Linked DNA regions of Saccharomyces cerevisiae S288C. The gene in region 3 interacts genetically with the main gene of each other region. Each region holds a gene or a part of one and is shown on either strand. Other genes may lie near its edges.

The links.
Region 1: mutations in REI1 (region 3) and CKB1 together harm fitness more than expected from each alone (negative genetic interaction), as found in Saccharomyces cerevisiae (3 studies listed by BioGRID, with this or other methods).
Region 2: mutations in REI1 (region 3) and KIN82 together harm fitness more than expected from each alone (negative genetic interaction), as found in Saccharomyces cerevisiae (4 studies listed by BioGRID).
Region 4: mutations in REI1 (region 3) and NMA1 together harm fitness more than expected from each alone (negative genetic interaction), as found in Saccharomyces cerevisiae (2 studies listed by BioGRID).

What each region holds. Positions count from the first base shown.
Region 1 is NC_001139.9:454,961-459,492, forward strand, and holds CKB1 (casein kinase 2 regulatory subunit CKB1), read left to right. Parts: upstream 1-3,195; coding exon 3,196-4,032; downstream 4,033-4,532. Other genes in the region: protein kinase ALK1, read left to right, coding at 1-2,107; GET complex subunit GET1, read right to left, coding at 2,203-2,910; J-type chaperone JAC1, read right to left, coding at 4,150-4,532. UniProt on the Saccharomyces cerevisiae protein: Regulatory subunit of casein kinase II/CK2.
Region 2 is NC_001135.5:268,417-277,066, forward strand, and holds KIN82 (putative serine/threonine protein kinase KIN82), read left to right. Parts: upstream 1-5,987; coding exon 5,988-8,150; downstream 8,151-8,650. Other genes in the region: FIG2 (Fig2p), read left to right, coding at 1-3,847; YCR090C (uncharacterized protein), read right to left, coding at 3,899-4,447; mismatch repair protein MSH3, read right to left, coding at 8,348-8,650. UniProt on the Saccharomyces cerevisiae protein: Flippase activator that phosphorylates DFN1 and DFN2 and which is involved in the generation of phospholipid asymmetry in membranes by the inward translocation of phospholipids.
Region 3 is NC_001134.8:737,891-745,738, forward strand, and holds REI1 (Rei1p), read left to right. Parts: upstream 1-1,950; coding exon 1,951-3,132; downstream 3,133-7,848. Other genes in the region: Rab family GTPase YPT10, read right to left, coding at 1-479; TSC10 (3-dehydrosphinganine reductase), read left to right, coding at 692-1,654; SLM6 (Slm6p), read right to left, coding at 2,046-2,498; mitochondrial 54S ribosomal protein mL54 MRPL37, read left to right, coding at 3,409-3,726; SDH8 (Sdh8p), read right to left, coding at 4,270-4,686; BIT2 (Bit2p), read right to left, coding at 4,871-6,508; EFM2 (S-adenosylmethionine-dependent methyltransferase), read left to right, coding at 6,962-7,848. UniProt on the Saccharomyces cerevisiae protein: Pre-60S-associated factor involved in the cytoplasmic maturation of the 60S subunit. Involved in the dissociation and recycling of other late pre-60S factors like ARX1, TIF6 and ALB1 before newly synthesized large ribosomal subunits enter translation.
Region 4 is NC_001144.5:778,744-786,618, forward strand, and holds NMA1 (nicotinamide-nucleotide adenylyltransferase NMA1), read left to right. Parts: upstream 1-6,169; coding exon 6,170-7,375; downstream 7,376-7,875. Other genes in the region: U2-type spliceosomal complex subunit CWC24, read right to left, coding at 1-209; PEX30 (peroxisome biogenesis protein), read left to right, coding at 472-2,043; 60S ribosomal protein eL38 RPL38, read right to left, coding at 2,400-2,636; YLR326W (uncharacterized protein), read left to right, coding at 3,431-4,153; TMA10 (Tma10p), read right to left, coding at 4,384-4,644; REC102 (Rec102p), read left to right, coding at 7,699-7,872. UniProt on the Saccharomyces cerevisiae protein: Catalyzes the formation of NAD(+) from nicotinamide mononucleotide (NMN) and ATP. Can also use the deamidated form; nicotinic acid mononucleotide (NaMN) as substrate to form deamido-NAD(+) (NaAD).

The DNA.
Region 1 (4,532 bases), on a different chromosome or scaffold from region 3:
TGACACAGCTGACGAGCTGGAAAGCTCTGCTATCTTAAAGATGAGGGAGTCTGATGCATCTTTAAATGTTACCACCGGCAATAATACATCAAGGAAAACGACTTCCAATTCCAAAAAACGATGGTCTCTATTATCCAATCATTCTGCTGTTTCATCATCTAAATCTAAGAAAAGATGGTCTGTACTTTCTTCAAGCTTTACCAGTGAATCTCATAAGGACAGGGAATCGAGGAACGTTTTGCAACAAAAAAGAAAATCCTTGCAGAGTTATTCAAGCTTAGATACGGTAGCATCTAATAGCTCTATCTCTGCTTCTTCTTCTTTGAAAAGATCGTCCACTGGTCTTTCCCTCAGACAATTGTTTACCAAGATAGGCATAAACGATGATATATCACAACCTGGGATCGGGATTCCGCAAGGTAAGGAAAATCTGCCTCCAACTATGGGCAAAAAAAATTCATCAATTGCTTCCACTAGTTCGGAAAACAGACTTAGGACACCATTGAAGCCGCTTGTTAATCATTCTAAAAGGCCCACTTCACAACCACAACAGCAACAACCACTATATAATGCATCATTGTCCTCGAGAAGATCGTCGATTTCTTCCACTGTCTCTTCTTCCAGCTCGTCTAAATGGAGATTCTGGAAGAGAAATAAGAACCAGACACCTGCATTGTTGCAACCAGACCACCATTCTTTAAAAACCTTTCCTGCAGTAAACCGTCGTGATTCCATGACGCCCGTTGAACCAAGAAATATGGTAAAACATAAGACATCCTTTTCAGATTTCCATAAGACTATCTTCAGTTCAAATACGTATTCTGAAAGCAGCGATACAATATCTTCCATGGAAATTACTTTGAAAAACAAAGCTTCTTCCTCAAGTCTATCTTTGAACGTGTTGAAGAAAAGGAATTCGCAATCAAGTTTGAAGCACAAAAGTTCACATGCATCCTTACAAAAATTCAAAAGAAACAAAGGAAAGTCCTCCATGATAGCACCATCGACAGCAACTAATAGCAGCAATGATGACTCTTGTAGCTACAGTTCCAAAAATTCTACGTTGAGTCACCGAATATCGTTACCTGTACCGGACCAAGTTTCCCGTGATAAAATTCAGAACAAATTAAGATATTCGACCTCATTACTCTCATTAAATTCTAAATCATCTTTACCGATGAACAAAAATGATCATGATGAGACACTTCTAAGACAGATTTTACTAAATTGTGATATAAAGAGAATTTTAAACCCCGCAAAAGGAGATGTATTGCCTTTAATCAACGATGTAAACCATTTGTCATCAATACAATTAACATCAAATGTTTGGCAAATTGGTGAAGTAATCTGTAAAAAAGTTTCTCTCGGTACTATTGATGACATTACATGGGATAGAAAGTTCTTATCTTTGCAGGAACTGGAAAAACTCAAAATCATGCAACAAAAATTTGATGGCATACCGCAACTATTGAAAAGTTTTGTTGTTAAAGAGGCAAATGGGGGGTTGTATTTGTACTTACTATTCAAAGATCACGGTACCCCAATTTCGTTAATCTCACTGAAAAACTGGAAGCAGATTCTAAAGATTTTTTGGTCTTGTGCTGGTATAATTCATGGGTTGGAAAAAAATTTGAAATTTGAACATCGTAATCTTACTTTGGATAATATTTTGATAGATGGTAATGGGAATATAACAATTATTGATTTTAAATGCAGTAGATTGCAAACTCCTCAAGATGATGTTTTATATCTACGGCTAGATCATCCACTCTTTTTTCTAAATGGGAAAGACAAGAGTAAAATAAACGAATACCAGTATCAATTTGAGTTTGAAATCTATCAAAGTATGCGGATCTTGTTGAACATGGACGCGTCAGCTTTTGAGCCCATGACAAATTTGTATTGGTTATATTACCTGTCACGCGTTTTACTAAAGTTTGGTGACAGGAAGCTTGGTAAGAATGATGCAAACAGGGATAAAATGGCAAGGGTGATAAACCATTTGGAAATGAACTTGGCAGTTCATAAAAGAGGGGGGCAGTTATTCAAAAGATTGGAGACGGAGGACATTAAGAATACTGGAGATTTACTAAAACTTTATAAATAAAACAAATAGGAATGTTGACATTTATATTTCATTTTCTTTCTATTGTATACTCCAATACATAAACATATTATATATACGTACATAATGTAATAACACTAATCTAAAATAATGGCATCGTCGACAGCATCCAAGGCTTTCTCCTCTTGAGTCTCCACAGATGCAGGTGCTTCCATTTTGGGAGTCAAAAACAATTGCTTAACGATAAATTCCACGCCGTTGATGACATTCATCAATGCCCAAACCCAGATTCCCAAAGAGACACTCTGTAAAGCCATATCATCAAACTTGGAAGCACCAAATTTGCCCTCCATTATATGCCATTTCTGAGAAATAGTCCTTAGAGGATGCAAGAGAACATATAACCAGCCTTGAGACCAAACACCACTTACAAACGTAGGGAACAAGGTGCTAGTCGAGGAACTCAACTTGTAAACTGGTGTCTTGCCGTACATAATCTTAAACACAAAAAATGGCACCGTCAATGCCAATAACCTGAGTTTGTGAAGATGGGCCTGAAAGGCTTTATTTTCTGATTGTATTTCGTCCTTCAAGTTATTTATTTCTTTATCTAACGAGTCCAATTTTCTATTGTTCTTAGTCCATTTGGCATAATTATCCTGCGCGGAGATAGAGTTGTTGAATTCTTTTAATTCGTGACGTTCTTTGACCTTGGCTAAGTATTTTTTGGATAATTCATTTCCTGGTGCAAATTTAGAGATCCATTTCTCGTGGTATTTGTTTGTATACTGTAGAAACTTTGTGACCACAATAAAGAATATCGCTACCGCTGCTGCCCAATGCATTTCTCCTATTTCAATCAACTAGACGTAGTTCAAGGATTGCAAACTGTCCTGCTTTCTTTTATCTGGTCTTTTTATCCCGAGGTATTGTTGTATATACCACTACTCTGTGATTTTTTTTCACTCTTGGGAAGGAAAGAAAAAGTGAAAACATCAACTGGTAAGTGTCTAATGACAAAAACAGGAGGTAGTTGGTACGTGCAAAACACGATAGTGACGTTAATCCGAATCTGTAAATTGGTGAATTGGTATTTAGAAGCGACCATTAGCTAAAAGAGAGAGAAAACTATGTCGCAAGAGTTTGTGGAAGACTATTCACGTACAGGGTCCTCAGACGACGAGGATAGTGGAGCTTATGACGAGTGGATTCCATCGTTCTGTTCCAGATTTGGTCACGAGTACTTCTGCCAAGTCCCGACAGAGTTTATCGAGGATGATTTCAATATGACCTCGTTATCCCAAGAGGTACCCCACTACCGGAAAGCTCTGGATTTGATATTGGATTTGGAGGCTATGAGTGATGAAGAAGAGGACGAAGACGACGTGGTGGAAGAAGACGAAGTGGATCAAGAGATGCAGAGTAATGACGGTCATGATGAAGGCAAAAGGAGAAACAAGTCGCCAGTGGTGAACAAGAGTATTATCGAGCACGCAGCAGAACAGTTATACGGATTGATACATGCAAGATTTATTCTGACCAAGCCAGGCCTGCAAGCAATGGCTGAAAAATTCGACCACAAGGAATTTGGAACGTGCCCCCGTTACTATTGTAATGGCATGCAGTTGCTGCCTTGTGGGTTGAGCGATACAGTTGGGAAACACACCGTAAGGTTGTACTGTCCCAGTTGTCAGGACTTGTATCTTCCCCAATCATCTAGATTCCTGTGCTTAGAAGGTGCATTTTGGGGGACAAGCTTCCCTGGTGTGTTCTTGAAACATTTCAAAGAATTGGAAGAGTATGTGGAAAGGAAAAGTAAAGAGTCCTACGAGTTGAAAGTTTTTGGGTTCAGGATAAATGATGAGGCAGTATCTGGTCCTAGAATGAAGTGGTTGAGACAATATCCATCCACGGAGGAGGACTGGGAAGAATTTGCCAAATGCGAGTTCGAGACACCGGCGGTTTAACCCTTGATTTATTTTCCTCTTTGCCCTACCATATACATATGTACTTTACCTATTTACATTGTTTCAGTTTTTATATCACCACTATTATTATTATTACTATTACCACTTTGGAGTACTTTAGTGATTCATTTCCAATTGTTTTCCTGGAGCCCAGTCTTTGAATGCCTTGGCCAAGTTGTACCAGTACTTTAGCTCCACGGTCAACTTCACTGCGGCGGCGTAATCCTTGTCATTGTAGCATTGTCCCAACTGGGCTTCAATATCTTGAATTCTTTCCTTGTTTTGCTTTTCAAGCAGCTTCACACCAGCTTCGTCGTCCATCTGGGATAATTCATCATGGATGTCTAGAACTTTCAATAGTAACTGTGGATCACTGGTAGTTACTTCATTTGAGGTCTGTTCTTGCGTCAAATCGATATTGCGCAAGAGTTTTAGCATATATTGTGACCTTCTAAGGGGATCTTTGAGAGTATGGTAAGCTTGATTAAGAGTTGATGACT
Region 2 (8,650 bases), on a different chromosome or scaffold from region 3:
ATATTCATCTACACAATTGTCGAGTTTAAATCGGGCCTCAAAAAGTGAAACAGTTAATTTCACTGCTTCTATTGCTTCCACACCATTTGGTACAGATTCGGCTACTTCTCTAATAGACCCCATTAGTTCAGTGGGTTCTACAGCATCTAGCTTTGTGGGAATTTCAACCGCCAATTTTAGTACACAAGGGAACTCGAACTATGTTCCTGAATCAACTGCAAGTGGAAGTTCACAATACCAGGACTGGTCAAGCTCTTCTCTTCCGCTGTCACAAACCACTTGGGTTGTCATCAACACAACTAATACACAAGGGTCTGTAACGTCAACCACATCCCCGGCTTATGTTTCTACGGCCACCAAAACGGTTGACGGGGTGATCACCGAATATGTTACATGGTGTCCTCTAACACAAACCAAATCACAAGCAATTGGGGTCAGTTCGTCCATTTCTAGCGTTCCACAAGCCTCCTCATTTAGCGGTAGTTCTATTTTGAGCTCCAATTCCAGCACTCTTGCTGCCTCGAACAACGTTCCTGAATCAACTGCAAGCGGAAGTTCACAATACCAGGACTGGTCAAGCTCTTCTCTTCCGCTGTCACAAACCACTTGGGTTGTCATCAACACAACTAATACACAAGGGTCTGTAACGTCAACCACATCCCCGGCTTATGTTTCTACGGCCACCAAAACGGTTGACGGGGTGATCACCGAATATGTTACATGGTGTCCTCTAACACAAACCAAATCACAAGCAATTGGGATCAGTTCATCCACGATTAGCGCCACACAAACCTCTAAACCATCTTCAATATTAACATTGGGGATATCGACCTTACAATTGTCTGATGCCACATTTAAGGGGACTGAAACTATAAACACCCATCTCATGACCGAAAGTACTTCAATCACAGAGCCCACCTATTTTAGTGGCACATCGGATAGTTTTTATTTGTGCACCAGTGAAGTTAATCTTGCGTCTTCCTTATCTTCTTATCCAAATTTTTCATCTTCAGAAGGCTCTACGGCGACCATTACTAACTCTACCGTTACATTTGGATCGACCAGCAAGTATCCATCTACTAGTGTATCTAACCCAACAGAAGCCAGCCAACATGTGAGCTCTAGTGTGAACTCACTCACTGATTTTACTTCAAATTCAACCGAAACCATCGCAGTTATATCTAATATTCACAAAACTTCGTCAAATAAAGACTATTCATTGACGACTACGCAATTAAAGACCAGCGGAATGCAAACGCTTGTGCTTTCTACTGTCACAACAACGGTGAACGGTGCTGCTACGGAATACACAACGTGGTGCCCGGCATCAAGTATTGCTTATACGACATCCATATCATATAAAACATTAGTTTTGACCACTGAAGTCTGCTCTCATTCTGAGTGTACTCCAACGGTTATTACCAGTGTTACTGCAACAAGCTCTACAATCCCCCTTTTATCAACCTCTAGCTCTACGGTATTATCTTCTACAGTATCCGAAGGTGCAAAAAATCCCGCTGCTTCTGAAGTAACTATTAATACCCAAGTTTCTGCTACTTCCGAAGCTACTAGTACTAGCACTCAAGTGTCTGCTACTTCTGCGACGGCCACTGCTAGCGAGAGTTCAACCACATCCCAGGTTTCTACTGCTTCCGAAACTATTAGCACTCTCGGTACTCAAAACTTTACCACTACTGGAAGCTTACTTTTCCCGGCTTTGTCTACTGAAATGATAAATACTACTGTGGTTTCCCGAAAAACCCTAATTATTAGTACAGAGGTATGTTCCCATTCCAAATGTGTCCCAACAGTCATTACCGAGGTTGTTACTTCGAAAGGCACGCCTTCTAATGGACATTCTTCTCAAACTCTACAAACGGAGGCAGTAGAGGTGACATTGTCATCCCATCAAACCGTAACTATGAGTACCGAAGTATGTTCTAATTCGATTTGCACACCGACTGTTATTACATCTGTGCAAATGAGAAGTACTCCTTTTCCATACTTAACTTCTTCAACGTCAAGTTCCTCTTTAGCCTCCACCAAAAAAAGTTCCTTAGAAGCCTCCTCAGAAATGTCCACCTTTTCTGTCAGTACGCAAAGTTTGCCTTTGGCATTCACAAGTTCAGAAAAACGCTCCACCACATCTGTCTCTCAATGGTCAAATACCGTTTTAACTAATACAATAATGTCCTCTTCTTCTAATGTCATATCAACAAATGAAAAGCCCAGTAGTACTACCTCTCCATACAACTTCTCTTCGGGGTACTCTTTACCTTCTTCTTCTACACCTTCCCAATATTCACTATCTACAGCTACTACAACAATCAACGGAATCAAAACTGTGTACACAACTTGGTGTCCATTGGCAGAAAAATCTACTGTAGCTGCTTCTTCTCAATCTTCCCGCAGTGTTGACAGGTTTGTTTCGTCGTCAAAACCATCCTCATCTTTATCTCAGACCTCTATTCAATATACATTATCTACTGCTACCACCACCATAAGTGGTTTGAAGACTGTATACACGACTTGGTGTCCATTAACAAGTAAATCGACTTTAGGTGCTACTACTCAAACTTCCTCGACAGCCAAAGTTAGAATTACTTCCGCTTCATCTGCAACATCTACTTCTATTTCTTTGAGCACTTCAACAGAATCAGAATCTTCATCTGGATATTTGTCGAAAGGAGTATGCTCAGGTACTGAATGTACGCAAGATGTGCCAACACAATCATCCTCACCTGCTTCAACGTTAGCATATTCCCCCTCTGTTTCTACATCATCATCATCATCATTCTCAACAACAACTGCATCAACACTAACGTCAACACACACCTCTGTCCCGTTATTACCATCATCTAGCTCTATATCAGCATCTTCGCCATCATCAACTTCGTTGTTATCCACTTCTTTACCATCTCCCGCTTTTACGTCATCAACACTTCCAACAGCAACAGCAGTATCTTCCTCCACTTTCATAGCGTCTTCTCTACCATTGTCCTCTAAATCATCATTGTCGTTATCGCCAGTCTCGTCGTCTATTTTGATGTCTCAGTTTTCATCATCATCATCATCATCATCATCATTGGCATCGTTGCCATCTCTTTCTATATCACCAACTGTTGACACTGTTTCTGTTCTACAACCAACTACTTCCATCGCAACACTAACTTGCACAGACTCACAATGCCAACAGGAGGTATCCACTATCTGTAATGGATCCAACTGTGACGATGTGACTTCAACTGCCACTACTCCTCCATCTACGGTTACTGATACTATGACATGTACTGGATCTGAGTGCCAGAAAACCACATCTAGCAGCTGTGATGGTTACTCGTGTAAAGTATCCGAAACGTATAAATCAAGCGCTACAATATCTGCATGTAGTGGAGAAGGATGCCAAGCTTCCGCTACAAGTGAGCTAAATTCTCAATACGTCACGATGACGTCTGTCATTACCCCAAGTGCCATAACAACAACATCAGTGGAAGTGCATTCAACTGAATCCACTATATCAATTACTACAGTGAAGCCAGTTACATATACATCCAGTGATACTAATGGAGAACTGATAACCATAACAAGTTCCAGCCAAACTGTAATTCCATCAGTAACGACGATAATAACGAGAACAAAAGTGGCCATAACTTCAGCACCAAAGCCAACAACTACGACCTATGTCGAGCAACGACTTTCCTCCAGTGGGATTGCTACTTCTTTTGTTGCTGCTGCATCCTCAACTTGGATTACTACACCCATTGTCAGTACGTATGCTGGTTCGGCGTCAAAATTTCTCTGTAGTAAGTTCTTTATGATAATGGTAATGGTGATCAACTTCATTTAATTTCCCGTATATATTATATGTACGTATATATGCTATAAACAGACACTCTTTTTACTTACCTTTAATAATGCTTGATGAGAAATCAGTCATTGTTACTTCTTCCCCAAGGTTGTCATCATAATCATACCATTCATTATCCTCTAGTTGGCATGACATTACTTTCCCCGAACTTAGAGAAACTTCAAACGTTATGGTGTCGGGATAAAATTTGATTAATTCACAACCTCTGCAATCAAGGCTTAAAGGAATGAAAGAATCTTCTTTGACCTTCGATAAACCATGCTTCTTCCGCACATCTTTTATCTTGGCCCATTTGTCGTCACTCTGATCAGTTAAATATTCATCCTCAAAAGCGCACAGGTTAACTGACAATTCTTTTGAACAAAATTTACACTTCATCAAGAAAGATGCGGTACCTTTTGATGCCGGCATAGCATATTCTTCAAATGTATTGATGATGACTTTAGAATCGTGTAATTCTCTACAACTGGTACATTGTAGATCGAAGGCAAATTCTGCCCTTGATTCGTTTGTATTCTCAATTGAAACCTTGGTCACGTTTTCTGATAATGTTGCTTTCAGAACCAAAAATAACGGCATTATCGTACACAACCTGGTTTTCTTTATTGGTTAAGTTGTCTTTATTCAAAATTTTTCATTACTTCTTATAAACAGCTTCTTGACGCTTGTAATTTCATAAGTTTTTGATACAAGCAATGGAAACAAAATTAAGAAAATGTAGGCAACGAAGAACTAAATTTGAAAAAAAAAAAAAAAAAAATTTACTGCCAAGATCATCTAAATTATCTTATAGTAGCAAAGCTTGAGCATAAAAGGATCAATCTTTTAGTTTTTTATGGCAAAGTACATTTGCAGTAAGTAATTAGTGATGAGATAAACAAAGAATAATAATCCAATTCGAAATCAAAAATTCAAACAACAAAAAACATAATTTCACATATATATCTAATTCATTCACGAAAAACACGTCAGTTCCTTCTGTCTGTTGTAAATAGGATGCATCCGCAGTGAATCATGGAAATATTTCAAAACTTTCAGCCCAATCATTTTATTTGGTCAATGAAGCCATAAACGCTCCGTAATTCTAAGATTAAAAAAAATTCATAAAAATAAGGACCAATATAAATATATATATTTAATGTGCTAGTGACAATCCTAGTGATAAAATTGCAAATTATACTACAATTGGTCATGGTGAAGCCTAAACACACCATTACGTCTTCACAGTGTTATTCATTTTATTTTCAAAGGTATGCTACTACTAATGCACCAGTGTATACCATGATACGGTGAAAAGGGCATGTAATATTGCGTTAATTTGTCGATAACCTTTCTTTACGTTTAAATTTTTTTTTTATAACTGGCGACACTAAACTTCTCGATAAAATACAACATAAAAAGCAGTACCTAGCTAAGCGAACAACAGATAATAAATAGCTAAACATCTAGGTTAATAGCCAATTAGCAATACATTTAAGGATTGATAGTGTGGTATTTACAAGGTAATAGCCCGCTAGGCTATAAGGAAACTACTCTAAATTCACCTTCCATATATGTGACTGCCAAGAAAATATTACTAGTTATCAAGCTTTTTTTGTGTGCATTCAACTTCAACGAATCCTTCGTCATCAATGAAACAAAAGAACAAGCCAGAACTGAAAAAAAAAAATCAAAACCACTAAGAATGTCACATCCTTCCAAAACTCCTGCTGGCTCTTCAACTCTTCAAAGAATATCAAGATAAATATCATTATCTCCAGTGTGGCCGACCCATGCATGAGTGCGAGGAGCATTAAGTTGGATCCTGGGAAAACATGTCAAGGACATTCAATAAAGTACTTTTCATACTACAACAGACGCTAGAAGAACTAGAATGTAACCGTGAACTGCCTCTCAAACACATAATTATGATAGCGCCGTCTTCGGCATCCTTTTTCGGAAATATACTTTCCTTTTTCCCTCTTTCAGCTATATTGTTCAAGGAGTAACATAAGACATAATAACCCCAGTTTTTTTAGAGAAAGTTCTTCTTCTTTAATTATAGTATGTTTGAAACGTACAAGAATTCATTGAGTGCCCTAAGGATTACTGCAAACAAGGTTCAACAGTGTTGGTACACATGACTCAGCAAGAATACCGTTCCCCCTCACAACGCTTATCCAAGGGGAGGAGCATGTCGCTACCCAAAATATTTGCTCGTAATTTGAGATCTCTGCAAAACAATGCACCTCCTGGCAAAAACATCAATGTCAATTGTTTGAACGTCAATTCTTGTTCGTTGTCCGCAAGCCCAAGCTCACAAATTAATATGGCTTGTAATGGAAACAAGCAAGATCTTCCCATACCGTTTCCCCTGCATGTAGAATGCAACGATAGCTGGTCAAGCTCCAAACTTAACAAGTTCAAATCAATGTTTAATCATAACAGATCAAAGAGCAGTGGTACTACAGATGCGTCAACTTCAGAAAAAGGTACGCATAAGCGTGAACCCCGGTCGACGATACATACAGAGCTGTTACAAAGTTCCATTATCGGTGAGCCAAATGTCCATAGTACTACAAGTAGCACACTTATACCCAATGAGGCGATATGCTCCACACCTAATGAGATCTCAGGTAGCTCTTCTCCGGACGCGGAGTTATTTACCTTTGACATGCCCACAGACCCGTCATCCTTCCACACTCCTAGCTCCCCAAGTTATATAGCAAAGGACAGTAGAAACCTGAGTAATGGATCTTTGAATGATATTAACGAAAATGAAGAGCTCCAAAATTTCCATAGAAAAATCAGCGAAAATGGCAGTGCCTCCCCCCTGGCTAACTTGTCATTATCCAATTCACCAATTGATTCCCCAAGGAAAAATAGCGAAACCAGAAAGGATCAAATACCTATGAACATAACACCACGTTTAAGGAGGGCCGCTTCCGAACCGTTCAATACGGCAAAGGATGGGTTAATGCGGGAAGATTACATTGCCTTGAAACAACCTCCAAGCTTGGGAGATATTGTAGAACCGAGGAGATCTCGTCGTTTAAGAACCAAGTCATTCGGTAACAAGTTCCAAGACATTACTGTCGAACCTCAATCCTTCGAAAAAATTAGACTACTTGGCCAAGGTGACGTAGGTAAAGTGTATTTAGTGAGGGAACGCGATACCAACCAGATATTCGCCCTGAAAGTTTTGAATAAACATGAGATGATCAAGAGGAAGAAAATTAAACGAGTACTCACTGAACAGGAAATTCTCGCGACAAGTGATCATCCATTTATTGTGACACTGTATCATTCCTTTCAAACCAAAGACTATTTGTATCTCTGTATGGAATACTGCATGGGAGGGGAATTCTTTAGAGCCTTACAAACAAGAAAAAGTAAATGCATTGCAGAAGAAGATGCGAAGTTTTACGCCAGTGAAGTAGTAGCAGCTTTGGAATATTTACACCTACTGGGCTTCATATACAGAGATTTGAAACCCGAAAACATATTACTGCATCAATCTGGTCATGTCATGCTTTCTGACTTTGATTTATCCATCCAAGCAACGGGATCAAAAAAACCCACCATGAAAGACTCTACGTATTTAGATACAAAAATTTGTTCAGATGGATTCAGAACTAATTCCTTTGTTGGTACTGAAGAGTATTTAGCTCCAGAAGTAATCAGAGGGAATGGCCACACTGCAGCAGTAGACTGGTGGACTTTAGGAATATTGATTTACGAGATGCTATTTGGCTGTACTCCATTTAAAGGAGATAATTCAAATGAAACATTCTCTAACATTTTAACCAAGGACGTCAAATTTCCACATGATAAGGAAGTTTCGAAGAATTGTAAAGACCTGATAAAGAAACTACTAAACAAAAACGAGGCAAAAAGGCTTGGTTCCAAATCAGGAGCTGCAGACATAAAGAGACATCCCTTCTTCAAAAAAGTTCAGTGGTCGTTCTTAAGAAACCAAGACCCCCCTCTAATACCTGCATTAAATGATAACGGCTGCGAACTTCCTTTTATATTGTCTTGCAATAAACACCCGAAAAGGAACTCAGTGAGTGAACAGGAAACCAAAATGTTCTGTGAGAAAGTTGCAAACGATGATGAAATTGATGAGGCTGATCCATTCCATGATTTTAATTCTATGAGTTTAACGAAGAAAGATCACAATATCTTAACCTACTCTGAAAATTATACCTACGGAAAAATTCTATACAAAGCAACTTGTACAAGGCCAAGGCATAACAGCTCACATAGAAGTTTCTTTAAAGACATCATACCTGAACTATAACATGTTTACAGAAAGATAAACCCATGGCCAAATTTCTGTATTGTTTCTCTCAATTTATCTTATGATAAAAATGTAAAAAATTATTTAAAAGTAAACAAATAAACAAAGGAACAATTCAAAAACGAGAAAGTGAATGAAAAATATAATATCATTTATTGTCTGATAATGCTGCATTTAGAACATACGTACCATCCGCATCAGTGGATATCCAATGATAGTAATTTCGCGAGTTTATCCGTTGCTGTTATATTATCACTTTTTAATATTCTTTTCAAAGAGCTGAATAATTTCAACGCGTCTTCGTTAATGGATTCCTTCCGCAATTCTTCTGAAATACTGAATGCCCGATTTATAATATCTTTGTCCAGGCGTGCCAATTTCGCCACATTCATCCCATAACTATTATAAGTCAATCCCTTTTTTAACTTATATAGAAAAATTACACTCATCCAGTCCTCGCCAGTTTTTTGTTCTTCCACGTAATCCATATGATAATTCCT
Region 3 (7,848 bases):
AATGTATCGAAATTGTACCCTGTCTTTGCACTTACGGCCACATACGGCAGACCCTGTAACTCCGCCGGTATAGTCACTTCCCCTGAATGCTCTTCGCAGACTAAATCGTACTTATTGCCCACGATAATTACCTGCGTTCCCTGAGCACGGTCCTGTAAATCTTGAAACCATGTCTTTGCACATTGCAGACTGGATACGTCTCCCAATTCGAATACAATCAAAGCAATATTCGCATCTCGATAATACATTGGCACCAGTGATTTATACCGTTCCTGACCCGCCGTGTCCCATATCTCCATATGGATACGTTTCTCCGTAGAGGAGTCGTTAGAAGGAACCTCGATTGTCTTGGTGATGAACGCCGCACCTATCGTAGCCGCATGTTTTGCTAGAAACTTACCTGATTTGAGCCTAGTCACTATACTGGTTTTCCCCACTGATGAATCTCCTAGCAGTACCACTTTGATGGTTGCTTCCATATCGTATTCCTCCGTATTTTGTGCTACTTGTATTTCCTGGAGTAATTTTACTATCATTGTTCCTTAACGTGAAACGTAAGGCTAAAAAACAATAAACGACAAAAAAAAAACAAAAAAATGAAAAATGCAGAGGAGTTTCTCTGCATTTACTGGAAGCGATTAAATAAGATTGCCTCAAGAAAAGAAGTTATCGGTATAATCTTTTGTAGGTAATGAAGTTTACGTTAGAAGACCAAGTTGTGTTGATCACTGGTGGTTCACAAGGTCTTGGAAAGGAATTCGCCAAAAAATATTATAATGAGGCTGAAAACACAAAGATTATTATCGTCAGTAGGTCAGAGGCTAGACTGCTGGACACATGCAACGAAATTAGGATTGAAGCTCACCTGAGAAGGGAAACCACTGACGAGGGCCAAGTGCAACATAAGTTGGCTGCGCCCTTGGACCTTGAGCAACGGTTATTTTACTACCCATGCGACTTGTCCTGCTACGAATCCGTGGAATGTTTGTTCAATGCCCTGAGAGACTTGGATTTACTCCCTACACAAACGTTATGCTGTGCAGGGGGGGCTGTTCCTAAGTTATTTCGTGGGCTAAGCGGACATGAGTTGAACTTGGGTATGGACATCAACTATAAAACAACTTTGAACGTGGCACATCAGATTGCCCTTGCAGAGCAAACCAAGGAACACCACCTCATCATCTTTTCTAGTGCCACCGCGCTTTACCCATTTGTGGGCTATTCCCAGTATGCGCCTGCAAAAGCTGCAATCAAATCACTGGTAGCAATCTTAAGACAAGAACTGACGAACTTCCGTATCAGTTGTGTTTATCCTGGTAATTTTGAAAGCGAAGGTTTCACTGTAGAGCAGCTAACGAAACCCGAAATTACAAAGTTGATCGAAGGCCCCTCAGACGCTATCCCATGCAAACAAGCATGTGATATCATTGCCAAGTCGCTGGCCAGAGGTGATGATGACGTTTTTACAGATTTTGTCGGATGGATGATAATGGGGATGGACCTTGGGCTCACCGCAAAGAAAAGCCGCTTTGTTCCGTTGCAATGGATTTTTGGTGTCCTATCAAACATTCTGGTCGTGCCATTCTACATGGTTGGCTGTTCCTGGTATATCAGGAAATGGTTTCGTGAAAATGACGGCAAGAAGGCCAACTGAGAGCACATCCACTCTCATTCCCGATATTCCCCGTGACTCTCTTTATTTCTTTCAAGACAAACCCTAGTGGTGTAGCTATTTGTACATGTATAAGTATATACGAAATATTAATTATAACATTATTACCACGGCGATATTTTCCTATTTTTATTCTCTTTTCTTACTATATTTTGAAAGTTTTTCTTATGGGTACCGATGCGATGAGGTGAAAAAAATTTTCCTCTTTCCACTTTTAGTACAGGTTATGAGATGCTTCTCATTAGAAGTCAAGAAGAGAGCATATCAGTAACAATACGATGAGTAGCAGTGGTGTTTATACGTGTAATTCATGTGTCCTGACCTTTGATTCAAGCGACGAGCAGCGGGCCCACATGAAGTCCGATTGGCATCGCTACAATTTGAAAAGACGTGTTGCACAATTGCCACCAATATCATTTGAGACATTTGACTCCAAAGTGTCTGCAGCTGCTGCCAGTACTAGTAAGTCTGCTGAAAAGGAGAAACCTGTTACCAAAAAGGAGTTGAAAAGAAGGGAAAAGCAAGCATTGCTCGAAAAGAAAAAGAAACTGTTGGAAATTGCCAGGGCTAATATGCTTGAAAACATGCAAAAGAGCCAAGAGGGAAATACTCCCGACCTAAGCAAGCTCTCTTTGCAAGAAAATGAGGAGAACAAGGAAAAGGAAGAACCTAAGAAGGAGGAGCCTGAACAGTTGACCGAGGAAGAAATGGCGGAAAGAGTAATGCAAGAAAAGCTACGCAACAGAGTCGATATTCCACTGGAACAATGTCTATTTTGTGAGCACAATAAGCACTTCAAAGATGTTGAAGAAAACCTGGAACACATGTTTAGGACCCACGGGTTTTATATCCCAGAACAGAAATATCTAGTCGACAAGATCGGCTTGGTAAAATACATGTCGGAGAAGATTGGTCTTGGGAACATTTGTATTGTTTGTAATTACCAGGGGAGAACGTTGACCGCTGTAAGACAGCACATGTTGGCAAAGAGACACTGTAAAATTCCCTACGAAAGCGAGGATGAAAGGTTGGAGATATCTGAATTCTACGATTTTACAAGCTCATACGCAAACTTTAATAGCAACACAACACCAGACAACGAAGATGACTGGGAAGACGTGGGCAGCGACGAAGCCGGAAGCGACGACGAAGATCTGCCACAAGAGTACTTATATAACGATGGTATAGAGCTGCATCTACCGACAGGCATCAAAGTTGGCCACAGGTCCTTGCAAAGATACTACAAGCAAGACTTAAAGCCCGAGGTGATACTGACCGAAGGCCAAGGTACCCTGGTCGCTGCAGAGACGAGATCGTTCTTACCTGCCTTCGACAAAAAGGGCGTGCAGACTCAACAGCGTGTTTGGCAAACTGAGAGGTTCGACAAGAAAAGGCTCGATAAGAGAAGTGCCAAGTTCGTCAATAACCAACCACACTACAGAGACCAACTTCTGCAGTAATTCTTTTTGCACTACTTTTTTTAGTATTTTGTCGCATATATACTGCTTCACCATTTGTACATTAGATAATTCTTCACTACCCCCTCTATAGCAATGTTATAGTCATTGAATCATGCTTTGAAATGCCTGTTCTAATATTCTCTTCATATAATAAATGCGTGATGCCGGGTATTTGTGCGCCCTTGTTTGGCGCAAAAATCTCGAAAGTGAAAAAACTAATAGGCTTCTTAAAGCAGTTATATCTACAGCAAAGGAAATAGCTGCTGAAGACTGAAGATGTTGGCGCGCAGTTTGGGTTACAGGTTGATATCGACCAGTCGTATCTTATATAATAAACCCACGGTTAAGTCAGTGGTGTCGTCGTGTCCTGCGGGAACATCGCTTAACTTAAACATATGGAAGAGCGGTAAAGACGCAGTGGCACTCGAGGACAAGGAGTATCCAAATTGGTTATGGAGCGTATTGGATAGTGATCACGTTGTCGAACATGCGGCTGAGGACCCAGAGGGACAGGCTCTCTTAAAGAGAAGAAAGAACATAAGGAAGGCGAACAGGCAGCGAATCAAGCAAAACAATTTCTTGAGCCAACTTTAAGCCTCCGTTAATAAGATCAAGTTTGGTATCCTTGTAAATAAATATGTGTGTACGTGGTTAAATAGTATGTTTTTAGCATAATGCCTTATTTTGTACCAACAAAAACATGATAGTTCCCACATATCTTTTCGCCTGGGGAATACCAAGTGGGACAAACAAAACGTTAAAAATTAAATCCTTTAGAGTACCACAAATTCGCAAGAAACAAGATAGTTGAATTGTCAATCATGGCTAAGATAAGTATGAATGTGCCCAGTGTAAAGATCAAAAACATGCCAAAGGTAAGGTTAAAAAGCACTAGAAAGACTGTCTCCACGAAAAACATGCGAAATAGGTTCAATTCATACTCGAAAAGAATTCGAAGGACGCTCACAAGAAAGAGATTTTAGGCAAACATGAAACGTATGCATTTCATAACACACACATATATATATTATATATTCAAAATAAAGCATAACAACATACATATTGAAAAGTAAATTGAACGTTACGCAGTTTCATCAAATAAGAATAGTATTATTAAAAATTGGCCGGACCAAATATCTAGAAATCCGTTACTCTTCCGTTAAACGAATAATCGCCGTGTCTCAACGGGTCCTGCTTGGGACCCCCAACTTCACCAGTCTTGGGGTTAACATCACCTTCGAATTCAGGTATGGTCTTGGAAAATTCAGGCGAGAATGACCCAATATCGTTTTTGGTTAAAAGCGGTGAATTCAAACTCTCCTTTGTACGATCGCCGGTGGCCTGCGCATTATACTGATCTATTGCCTCTTGCGATGTGGCAATCCTCTGAAGTCTTTCGAACTCTTCCTGCTCTTCTCTTGGCAGCTTGGGAGGGCCGGGGATCCTTTCAGTAGTTATTTTTCGGGTGGCCATATTAAATGGTCGTCCACGTAGTAGATTTAAGGCTCCCGTGCGAGGATACCGATAACCTGTGCTTTTGATGGCGCACAACATTAGTTCTTCTTTTTATTATTTGGTTCTTTCTGACTCTTTAGCAAGTTAATATGATCTGCACTTTCCCCATTGGCCCCTTTATAGGGCGGAAAAGAGCATCTGTTTTTCCGGATTCTTGGAACAAGAAAAAGGAAATACACCTATCTATATGCCACTATTGTATATTACTAAATAAAATATTTAATTATATACTCATGCGTATGCCCTCAAGAAGTTCACCAATAATTCTTTGGTTTCTGCTGTTACCTTTTATGGTATTCAGGATCCCAAAACACTGCAGCAGCGTCAGTTTATCTTCCTCTGTGACGCCGTTCTGTTCTTCCTCGCTGAAAATATATCTTTGAAAACTCTTACTGGCACCGTCATTTGTATGTAGGAAGCTTTCGTAATACGGAAGAATGATGGAGTCTCTAAAACACTTTAATAAAAGGACATCAATTGACGGTGCGTACCTTGAAGGTTCAGATAGATATCCGTCAAGCCAGTAGTTACTATTTTTTTGGAAGCTTTTCTCGAAGGGCAGTAACACTGCCATCATGTCGTAGTAAACCTGTTGGTAAAACACCTTCCAGATTATGCCGACTCTTTTCAAAGCCGTATTTACGGTATCCTCATTGGCATAATTGAACACAATCTGGTTCTCTAAAATGTAAAGTGAAGTGGTAATGAATTCCTCGATTTCGGCCAAAAACCTTGAGTGCGTTACGGCAGCCTTGGTTTGTGTTTTCAAAGTGATATAAAATTCCAGCAGCCGGTCAATATCTTCTATTTTTGCTGGCAATTGCCATACCCTCTTGTTTTTAAATAGCTCCACAACTATGCTGCAGTATATACCCCAGATATTCCCCTCCAGAACAAATAACTCCTGTACGGTGAAGCTTTTATAGTTTGCTATCAAGGATGGCAAGTTTTTCAGTAAATCATGTAGTAAAGAAACATTAGTCGCGTCGAAAGCATCATCTTGGATCAGCGATAGAGCTGTATCATTAGGGTTGTTGTTAATGCTAGGGTTAAAGGAATATACAGATTTTCCAGAGTCAATAAGGCCTCCAGTAGAAGTATGGATAAACTGTACGGGTGACCTATGTTTACCATATGAAGAATGCAGAAATTTACTGAATGGGCTGGGAACTACGGGTTCAACGTCGTCTTTACCAATGGAATTATGCGGCTTGTAGGGTAAAAGCTTTTTTGCCATTTTGCTAAAGACATTACTGCCTTTGTTTGAATGAGAATGTCCTGTAGACAGTGAAGATTGTAAACTGTTCACACTCATATTAGATTTCGTATGAAACAATTTAGAGCCACTCCTACTTATGTTGTTACTACTTGTGCCGGTAATAACAGTGCCGTAGTTTTTTGACCCGCTCCTGCTTCGATTTCTCATATTATCTTTTGAATTGGTGAAGATGGACAGTCGCCTTTTATTGCCCCTTGAGTTGGAAGAAAATAAACTATCATTAGACGTGGTGTTCCCCTCCATTCGGTTACTACTTGATGAACCTATTTCGGAGTGACCATCGTTATTCTCCGTGCCTTGGCTGTACTCCTCTTCAATCGAATCCGTCGAGCGCCTTGCATTGGAACCATCATGGAATATAGATTGAAACCCCACCTGTGACCATCTAGGAGCGGCATCATGAGGAGATTTGGATGTTTTTAGATGCACATCTTCGTCGGGATGTGTCAGCGCTTGCGGTACTATATCAGAAGAAACACTATAAACTCTAGCTGGTTTGCGATTAGTTGCTTTTATGTTCGGGTTCGTGACGCTCAGTGAGCCTGAGGTAGCACTTCTTTTACGATTTAGGTCTGTTGCCATTGCTTGACTCTGTAGTTTAAGACTCGCCTAGCCACTTATGCTTATTGTGGTTTGTATTTTTTATTTACTGTCTTCTATCTTTCTCCCTTTAATTTTGACCTTATTTTAAAGCCCGCAAAGATCGCTGAAAAATTGCTAGTAAAGGTCGCATGCAAAATGGATAAAGTGCTCTTGTCAAATTATTTCAACACCTTCATTCGCAGTATAGTGGTATATTGGATTGGGTAAAGGAAAACAGGCGACACCAATATTGGTTTAAGCTAGTAGCGTATGCAGCTCTATCCAGGCATTAAAATTGGTTCACCTATTTCTGATAGTAGTTTTTTTTTTTCCAATCGTAAATTTTTTCTTCAATTTCGCGATGAGCTACAAAATAATAGTAGTGCAATCTGTATATTACTTTTCAAGTATCTAACTCATGCAAGTTAGGAGTTCCATAGCGGATATTTCACTATGTTTGATCCTCTCGATTTGTACACCCCTGATGACATCCAGGTTGAGGCTTTACAGTTCAATCTAGCAGAGAGAGAGCCAAAAGATCCTTGCTCACCGCAACGTGACGAAATATTAACGGCTGTAGATGAAGAAGAGAGTGACGACGATGACACCATTATCGATAATCTGGATCTGCCCTCCGTGAAGTATGCTCCGCCAGAAGTTATCCTTTGTATACTAATACTTCTGAAGCCCGATAGACAAGTAAACTTCAATCAGGAGACAGGGAAGAACAAATCTGTACTGGAGGTTTGCAAGAGTCATGGGCTGGAACCCGATCTGCTGAAAAGACTTTTGACTTGGTATACAGAAGAATGGCCTAACAAGAGGTTAAACTCGTTGGAAAAGATATGCAATAAAATCCCAATGCTGAGATTTACAGTATCCAAAGAACTACTGTTGGGCTACTATACTAGTGTATTGAAAAAATACAATAATAGTTGCGGATTGAATGAGGAAATCATACAAGAACTTCTTAAGGAATTGAGCTCAAGGATATCCGAAAACTGTGGGAGAACGGCCCAACCATCCATAGTAAGATATTTTGAATTAAGAAATCTAAGCACTTCCATACCGCTTCATGAACCCTCTTTAACGGCCGATAATCTTGGTTGGAAAACATGGGGATCATCTTTAATACTTTCACAATTAGTCGTAGATCACCTGGATTACCTACATACCACTAATGTGAACATGTTAGCGAACAGCGACATCAAACAGATTAAAGTATTAGAATTAGGAGCGGGCACTGGTTTAGTAGGACTTTCATGGGCCTTAAAATGGAAAGAACTTTATGGAACTGAAAATATAGAAATCTTCGTGACGGATTTACCCGAGATTGTGAC
Region 4 (7,875 bases), on a different chromosome or scaffold from region 3:
TCCTCACCCTTTTTCTGTAGTTTACCTTCATTCTCATGTGAAAGTTGAAGTGTCCTGCTATTTCCACTCTTGGCTAAGCTCATGAGGTCACTGGAACCCTTTTCTTCATCGCTGGCCACTAGTTTCTCTTCGCTAAAATTAATTTTCTGCCTCTTTTTCTGGTTCTTTTCATCAGAAGAGCTTTTGTTCACTAATCTCTTTCTGAACATGAATACCTGGAGCTTTGATTAAGTGATGGAGCTTTCGATGGCTTTAGCTTGAGTCCACTTCAGATAGAGATGCGCATGGCTTTTTCTTATTATTCTCCGGTTGCACGGAAAGAAGCGGGAAGAGGACTAAAGGGTTTTTGGATCAGCTTCACAAAATATATACTTGGATACGTTCGCTACTGAGGTAAAGTGGGCATGCAAGGTTGCAATTTAGGATTCGAGCTGTCTAGTTGATCCTCCGGAGTGTAAAAACTGATTTTCAATGAGTGGTAACACAACTAACGTGCATGAGACTAGAGCCAAGTTTGCAGAGACGCTGCAACCGAGGATTGGTGGCAATACTACAAAAGTGATACGAGCTGCTTTGGAAAAGAACGAAGCTGAAAGCGGGGTGTCTGAGGATAATGATAACGGGTCATTGGAGAAAGTTAACGTAGCTACTTCGCCGCTTTTGACATCAACACCGCCCACAATCTCAAAGGCGTTGGTGAAATTGTACCCTTATTTAATTCTCATTGACGAATTCCTAAACGTTGTTACATGGACAGGAAAGAATATTTGGAGCAGTGTTTTGATGCTGTGTCTCTTTATTACTACCGTTGAGTATTTTGAAACGCTGGTGAAGTACTTTGGACATCTTGCCATCATTGCTATTTTGTGGGGTTATTCCCTATTGGACAATTATATTGAGGGTACGTTGAGCTCCTCACCAACATTAGAAGATATTGCTCTCTTAATGAACAGAGTATCCTTGAAGTCAGATATTTTGCTCTCCCCCATGGTTAACCTTGGAACGCAAGATATTCAACGGCTTCTATATACTACGGTCATATTATCTCCAATATACGTGATGATAACCTGGCTACTTTTACCACCGAGAAGCTTGATGCTGATGGTGGGCATGTTCCTTTTAACGTATCACTCACCATGGTCTAAAGTAGCAAGAAGGCTTTTATGGAAGTTTAAGATTGTCAGGCTGCTTGTTTTCTACGTCACGGGTTTAGACCTTGGTGGAATAAATAAGGACCAGGGTATTTTTGCTACAGTGCAGAAGCAAGTGAAAAAGTTGGCATCAACAGAAAACAGTAATGGCGTATTATCCGATTCCAAGCCTATCCGTTTTACTTATGTTTTGTACGAGAACCAGCGTCGTTGGTTAGGTATTGGATGGAAGCCTAGTATGTTGAGTTATGAGAGGACTCCATGGACCGATGAATTTTTGAATGAGGCTCCCTCTCCTGAAAACTTCCATCTACCTGAAGAGACTAACACTATGGTTTGGAGATGGGTCGACAAGACATGGAGGCTAGACATGACTAATGACGGTGCCATTCAAGTGCCCAATTCAAAGGCAAGAACTTCCGCAGATCCCTCCCCTGACGAGGGATTTATATATTACGACAATACCTGGAAAAAACCAAGTAAAGAAGATTCCTTTTCTAAATATACAAGAAGAAGAAGATGGGTAAGAACCGCAGAATTGGTCAAAACTTCTGACTTTGATGAAAGCGTGATAAATTCGAATAGAAATTCTGCCATTGAACAAAAGGTTGAAGAAAACAGCACGAATGGTTTAACCGCTGAGCAAGAGCTTGGGAGCAACAAGCAAGAGAAAGATAATGCGAAAAAAGTAGGAGAGCCTACAACAGAAGAGACAAAAGAATTTGCCGAAGCATCAAACATCAACGAAGGCGAGTTTGAAAGAATTTCCTCGACCGATGAAGAAGTTTTAAAATCTAGGGCAAGAGATCGACTGGCAAAAGTATTAGATGATACTGAAGAGAAAGAGCAATCAAATCCAACCATTGGTCGCGATAGCAAGAAGGCCGTATGATGCTCGCTCCCGTTTTTACCTTTACATAATATAATCTCTAATTTACTTTATTACACAAATGGTAACTCCCTTTAAATAAACTTAAAAAAGAACGTATAGAACTCTCTTCTTCAATGAATAGTAATCCAATTTTTTTTATTAACTATACAACGTTATGACTTTAAAAATTAAAAAATATGTTTATGAGTAGTAAGAAAAACAAAAGGAAACAAAAACAAAAAAAGTTATAAAGCCTATTTCTACTTCCTGTATAACGAACACAAATGGATATTATTCTTTATGCGGATGGGAAAGTATTCTTAGTTTTTTTTGTTCCAGTCTCGTTATGATAACACTCCGATCATTCCTTATTTTTCTTATAATCTGTTAACCTTCAAAGTTGGTGGCAAAGATTGGATCAATTTCTTAGCCTTACCAGCATCGTTGATAACCAAAGTGTACAAAGAAGAAGAGCCTCTAACCTTGAACTTGGTTTGTCTGAATGGCTTACCGGCCTTGTTCAATTTTTTGTTAATCTTAACAGTGGCGGTCTTAACGTCAGCTCTTCTGGTCAATTCCAAAAATTGTTTGATGTCGGTGATTTCTCTAGCCATTTTTCCTTGATATTTTGTCGTACTATATTCAACCTGAAATAAAAAACTAACAGTTGAAATATTTCTACATTGAAATTAGAAAATTTAATTCTTTAGATTGAAGATTCAATATTGTGCAAAAGCGTACAGCAGCAATCACGACTCTACATGCCATAGAGCTTGGAAAACTCTCCATAATTTTCCACTCGAACGTATGATGCTCCGTCTATTTTTTTCAACAGTTGCACGGACGAGTCCTCCTTTTCGCAAGGCATTTTAATTGTGTGGGTTTATGAAAATGCACGGATGCATTTTCTCTAGATGAAAATTCCGTCTTGGAATAATATCGGAATGAGCTAAAAGAACACCAGTACGCGAATATGTGAGATGCCCTGTTTTGTCACATAACAGCGGCAGTTAATTTGGCGTCTTTTCTGGGAAGCGAGTTTATTTGGCAAGGCTATGATGTTTTATAATACTAATCACGCATTGCAACTTCACAAAGTAGTTGTGACATGTGGATGTAATAGCGTTACTTTTCTTTTTGTTTATTGCTATTTGTTTCTATTTTCTTTTTTTAAATCGCGCTAATACGTGGAAAAATGCGTAGAAGCCGGGAATGGGACGTGATTATGAGATCATAACATGACTGCGAGCTAGAGAGCATTGGAAGAATTTGCTTTTTTGTTCAGTTCCCTACTCATATATTTGTTTCATAGAAGTCGTAGTATACGTGAGACAAGAGCACTTGAAAATAAATCTTGGATCTGCTGGGAGCAATATCATCAAGTAAAATAAGGGGGAAACCATATCAAATGTCAGGGTTCATTAAGAGCACGTTGCTTGGTCTAGGCCAAGATTACTTAGAAGATCAATATCAAGAGTTCGCAGAACAGCATTTCCAGCCAACCAGGGATCCGTTTTATGAAACGAATAAAGATGGTAAAAAGCACCGCCGCAGACTGCCATATTATTGCACTAAGGATGAAAGTAAAGCGTGGAAAAAGGTCCAAAACAAAGCCTGGCTGCATGACAAATCACTGTGCGGATGCTGTTGCTGGACAAACACTATAGGATGGGCACCATTACTTGCACTTCTACCGGTTATAGGACCCTTATTGATGTATTGGGTGCATGATAAGTTGATTGAATTGGCAGATGACAGGTATAAATTGCCTGCGGAAATCAAGGTGAAGATGCATGGTAATATCGTTATCGATTTACTTATTAGTTTAGTTCCTATTCTGGGAAGTGTTTTTGCATGGTTGCACGCATGTTCCACGAGAAACGCAGCTATAGTTTACAATTTTGTTGGAAAAAGGGCATTGGAAAGAAAGCAAGCGGAGCTCATGCATCAAAAAGAAGAAAATGAGAAACATTCCAATGCCAATACTGCACCTCCAGTAGTTGGTGGCAACAAAAATGTGAATGGAAACAGAAATAATAGTAAAATGTATAACAGACCGCCTGTGACAGCTCCACCTGCACCAGCATACACGCGCAGTACTAACGGTCGCCCCCAAAGAGGTTACAGGTGAACAAACCGGCCACGGTAAGGCTACATTCTTATCAACAAATATGGGCAATCAAAAACTTATAATGTAAATTTTATTTTTTATCGTAAACATGTATTTAAGAAGTAATATAAAGGATGTTTGACATGATCATTTTATATATGCATACACGTTATTGAAGTTATATGGTCGTTAAATCATTAAAAGGCCCGTTTCTTTGAAATATGCTAACGGAATCAAACCGGTCGGGTCGGTTAGATGTGGTATTGTTGCAAATCAGAAAGCCTTCTTTCATTGTTTTGGGAGTTAGAGCCCCTTCTGGTCTTGTTGAAGACTGTCTTAATTTCGCCAGAATCGATTAAGTCATTAATCTCATCGCCAGGCTTGCCCCAATTGCCTTTCCCATAGCCTCCTCTCTTGACGTGGTTGGGAGACTCCCCAAAGTTGCCGTTATGGGTGAAATACTTTGGGTTAGACTTTGCTTCGTGGACTGTCCATTTGCTAGTTCTGGTCATGTTTGAATTGTGTTTGTGTTAGAAATTTGTGTGCTTTAATGTTATGTTATAATGAAATCTTATTAGATTTATTTAACGTTTTTGCTGTGCTTATAATAAACATTACATAATAAAAGGAGTAGAAGAAAGTGGTAGAGAGGAGTACAAATCTACCTGCCAGAACTCTCTCCTTATATATATTTCCAGTGGTGTCTGGATTACCTACCTCAAGCCATACCATATCCATACCATATCCATAAACGCCTACAAAATTTCTACCCCAATCCAGCAGCTTCTATCACTATCTCGTATACCACCATAGGCACCACCACTGTTTGTGTAAATTTACTCCTGAGGGGGGGGTGGCTCAACACGGTGTAGGCCTTCTTCCCGCACAATCCGATGAAACCCCACAATCGCCTCCGTCTCTTCCACTGTGCACGGCGCTAGCTCAACATCTTCCCCGCCACATTTACTGTGGCAAAGAAGGTGCATAATCTAAAAAAACATACGTATGAGAATGGAAAGGGCAAGATAATATCGGACCGTAGTGAGTCACTTGCTTTTGGTATTGCAACCAACTGCCGCCCCTCTTCCCGCTCTTGCACCAAAACGCTAAATGCCCATTGTGATGGCTCATCCACCCTCACGACGAAGTAAGACCCGGGGCACAAGAAAATACGAGATCATAACAGTTCGAGTCCGTTTATTGTGTGCGGTTTTGGTACGCTTTTTCGTGAGGTGTACTACCATTCATGAGAGTCGTTTTAGGAGCTGTCATGAAAGATATGTATCTTGTTGATGAACTGTAAAAATTTGCAGAAATTGCGCTATTCCGTTTATTTCATTGTCGATTCGGTGTTAATATTAGGGGTACAAAATATACTAGAAGTTCTCCCTCGAGGATATAGGAATGCGCAAATGGGCATTTGATGTGACACAAAATTTGGACAATATAACGATTCATTTTTAGATCGTTGTTCAACCGTCCCAGTGGCCGAGTGGTTAAGGCGATGCCTGCTATTTCCTCAGAAAAGCAATTAGGCATTGGGTTTTACCTGCGCAGGTTCGAATCCTGTCTGTGACGCTTTTTTTAATTTCTTTACTCCATGACAAAAGCGGATAAAAATTCCCGCATTCGGCGTAAAAAAATCCGGTTTTTTTTTTAGCACTCGCTGTTTTTGCCTCTACCGGGTGAAAAATGACGATGAAGACGGCTGGAATTGCGCTGCATCCGCTTACGTAGGATAGAACACCTACAAAGATTTACGAACTTTATTGCTCGAAGATTCGCTATCCATATCTTTTTAGTTTCCCCCCATTTCACAATGGGATACCGTTGTTTTTTCTGTAGGTACGCTTTCTCATAGTTAATAGAGTCAGTAATTCATTTCATTTTTTGCAGAAAGGAATTTCTTCACCTAATTTAGAATTTCATCAACATTTATTGTATCTGCATGGTATAACAAATTAGAAAAATTTGGAAGGGAAAAAAAAACTGTTGCGTCAATTACTTATACCAGGGATAGAAAAAAAAAAAGGAAACATGGATCCCACAAGAGCTCCGGATTTCAAACCGCCATCTGCAGACGAGGAATTGATTCCTCCACCCGACCCGGAATCTAAAATTCCCAAATCTATTCCAATTATTCCATACGTCTTAGCCGATGCGAATTCCTCTATAGATGCACCTTTTAATATTAAGAGGAAGAAAAAGCATCCTAAGCATCATCATCACCATCATCACAGTCGTAAAGAAGGCAATGATAAAAAACATCAGCATATTCCATTGAACCAAGACGACTTTCAACCACTTTCCGCAGAAGTGTCTTCCGAAGATGATGACGCGGATTTTAGATCCAAGGAGAGATACGGTTCAGATTCAACCACAGAATCAGAAACTAGAGGTGTTCAGAAATATCAGATTGCTGATTTAGAAGAAGTTCCACATGGAATCGTTCGTCAAGCAAGAACCTTGGAAGACTACGAATTCCCCTCACACAGATTATCGAAAAAATTACTGGATCCAAATAAACTGCCGTTAGTAATAGTAGCATGTGGGTCTTTTTCACCAATCACCTACTTGCATCTAAGAATGTTTGAAATGGCTTTAGATGCAATCTCTGAACAAACAAGGTTTGAAGTCATAGGTGGATATTACTCCCCTGTTAGTGATAACTATCAAAAGCAAGGCTTGGCCCCATCCTACCATAGAGTACGTATGTGTGAATTGGCCTGCGAAAGAACCTCATCTTGGTTGATGGTGGATGCATGGGAGTCATTGCAACCTTCATACACAAGAACTGCCAAGGTCTTGGATCATTTCAATCACGAAATCAATATTAAGAGAGGTGGTGTAGCTACTGTTACTGGAGAAAAAATTGGTGTGAAAATAATGTTGCTGGCTGGTGGTGACCTAATAGAGTCAATGGGTGAACCAAACGTTTGGGCGGACGCCGATTTACATCACATTCTCGGTAATTACGGTTGTTTGATTGTCGAACGTACTGGTTCTGATGTAAGGTCTTTTTTGTTATCCCATGATATTATGTATGAACATAGAAGGAATATTCTTATCATCAAGCAACTCATCTATAATGATATTTCTTCCACGAAAGTTCGTCTATTTATCAGACGCGCCATGTCTGTACAATATTTGTTACCTAATTCGGTCATCAGGTATATCCAAGAACATAGACTATATGTGGACCAAACCGAACCTGTTAAGCAAGTTCTTGGAAACAAAGAATGATTTGCCGTCCGGAATTGCTTCGTTCTTTCTTTCATCTTTCTCTTTACAATTTCCAATTTTCCCCTACAGGAATTAATTGGAGGGTACAAGCGAGTAGAAATGTGACATATGACTTACCTATCTGTGTTTTAGTATAGTTTTTTTTTCTGTAGTATAATTCACTTTTACACTAATTTTTTCGCCTTTTTCTCTTAAAGAGCTAATTTCTATAACCTTCAGCGGTTATACCAAATATAAAAAATGGAAGGAAAACAAACAGTAAGAAATAAGCGCAACAGCACGTTAGTTCACCATTGGATTCCAACATTTCAAAATTTAATCTAATGGCAAGAGATATCACATTTTTGACCGTATTTTTAGAAAGTTGTGGCGCTGTAAATAATGATGAGGCAGGAAAATTGTTATCTGCTTGGACTTCAACCGTACGCATTGAGGGACCGGAATCAACCGACTCTAATTCATTATATATTCCACTGCTACCACCTGGAATGTTGAAAGTA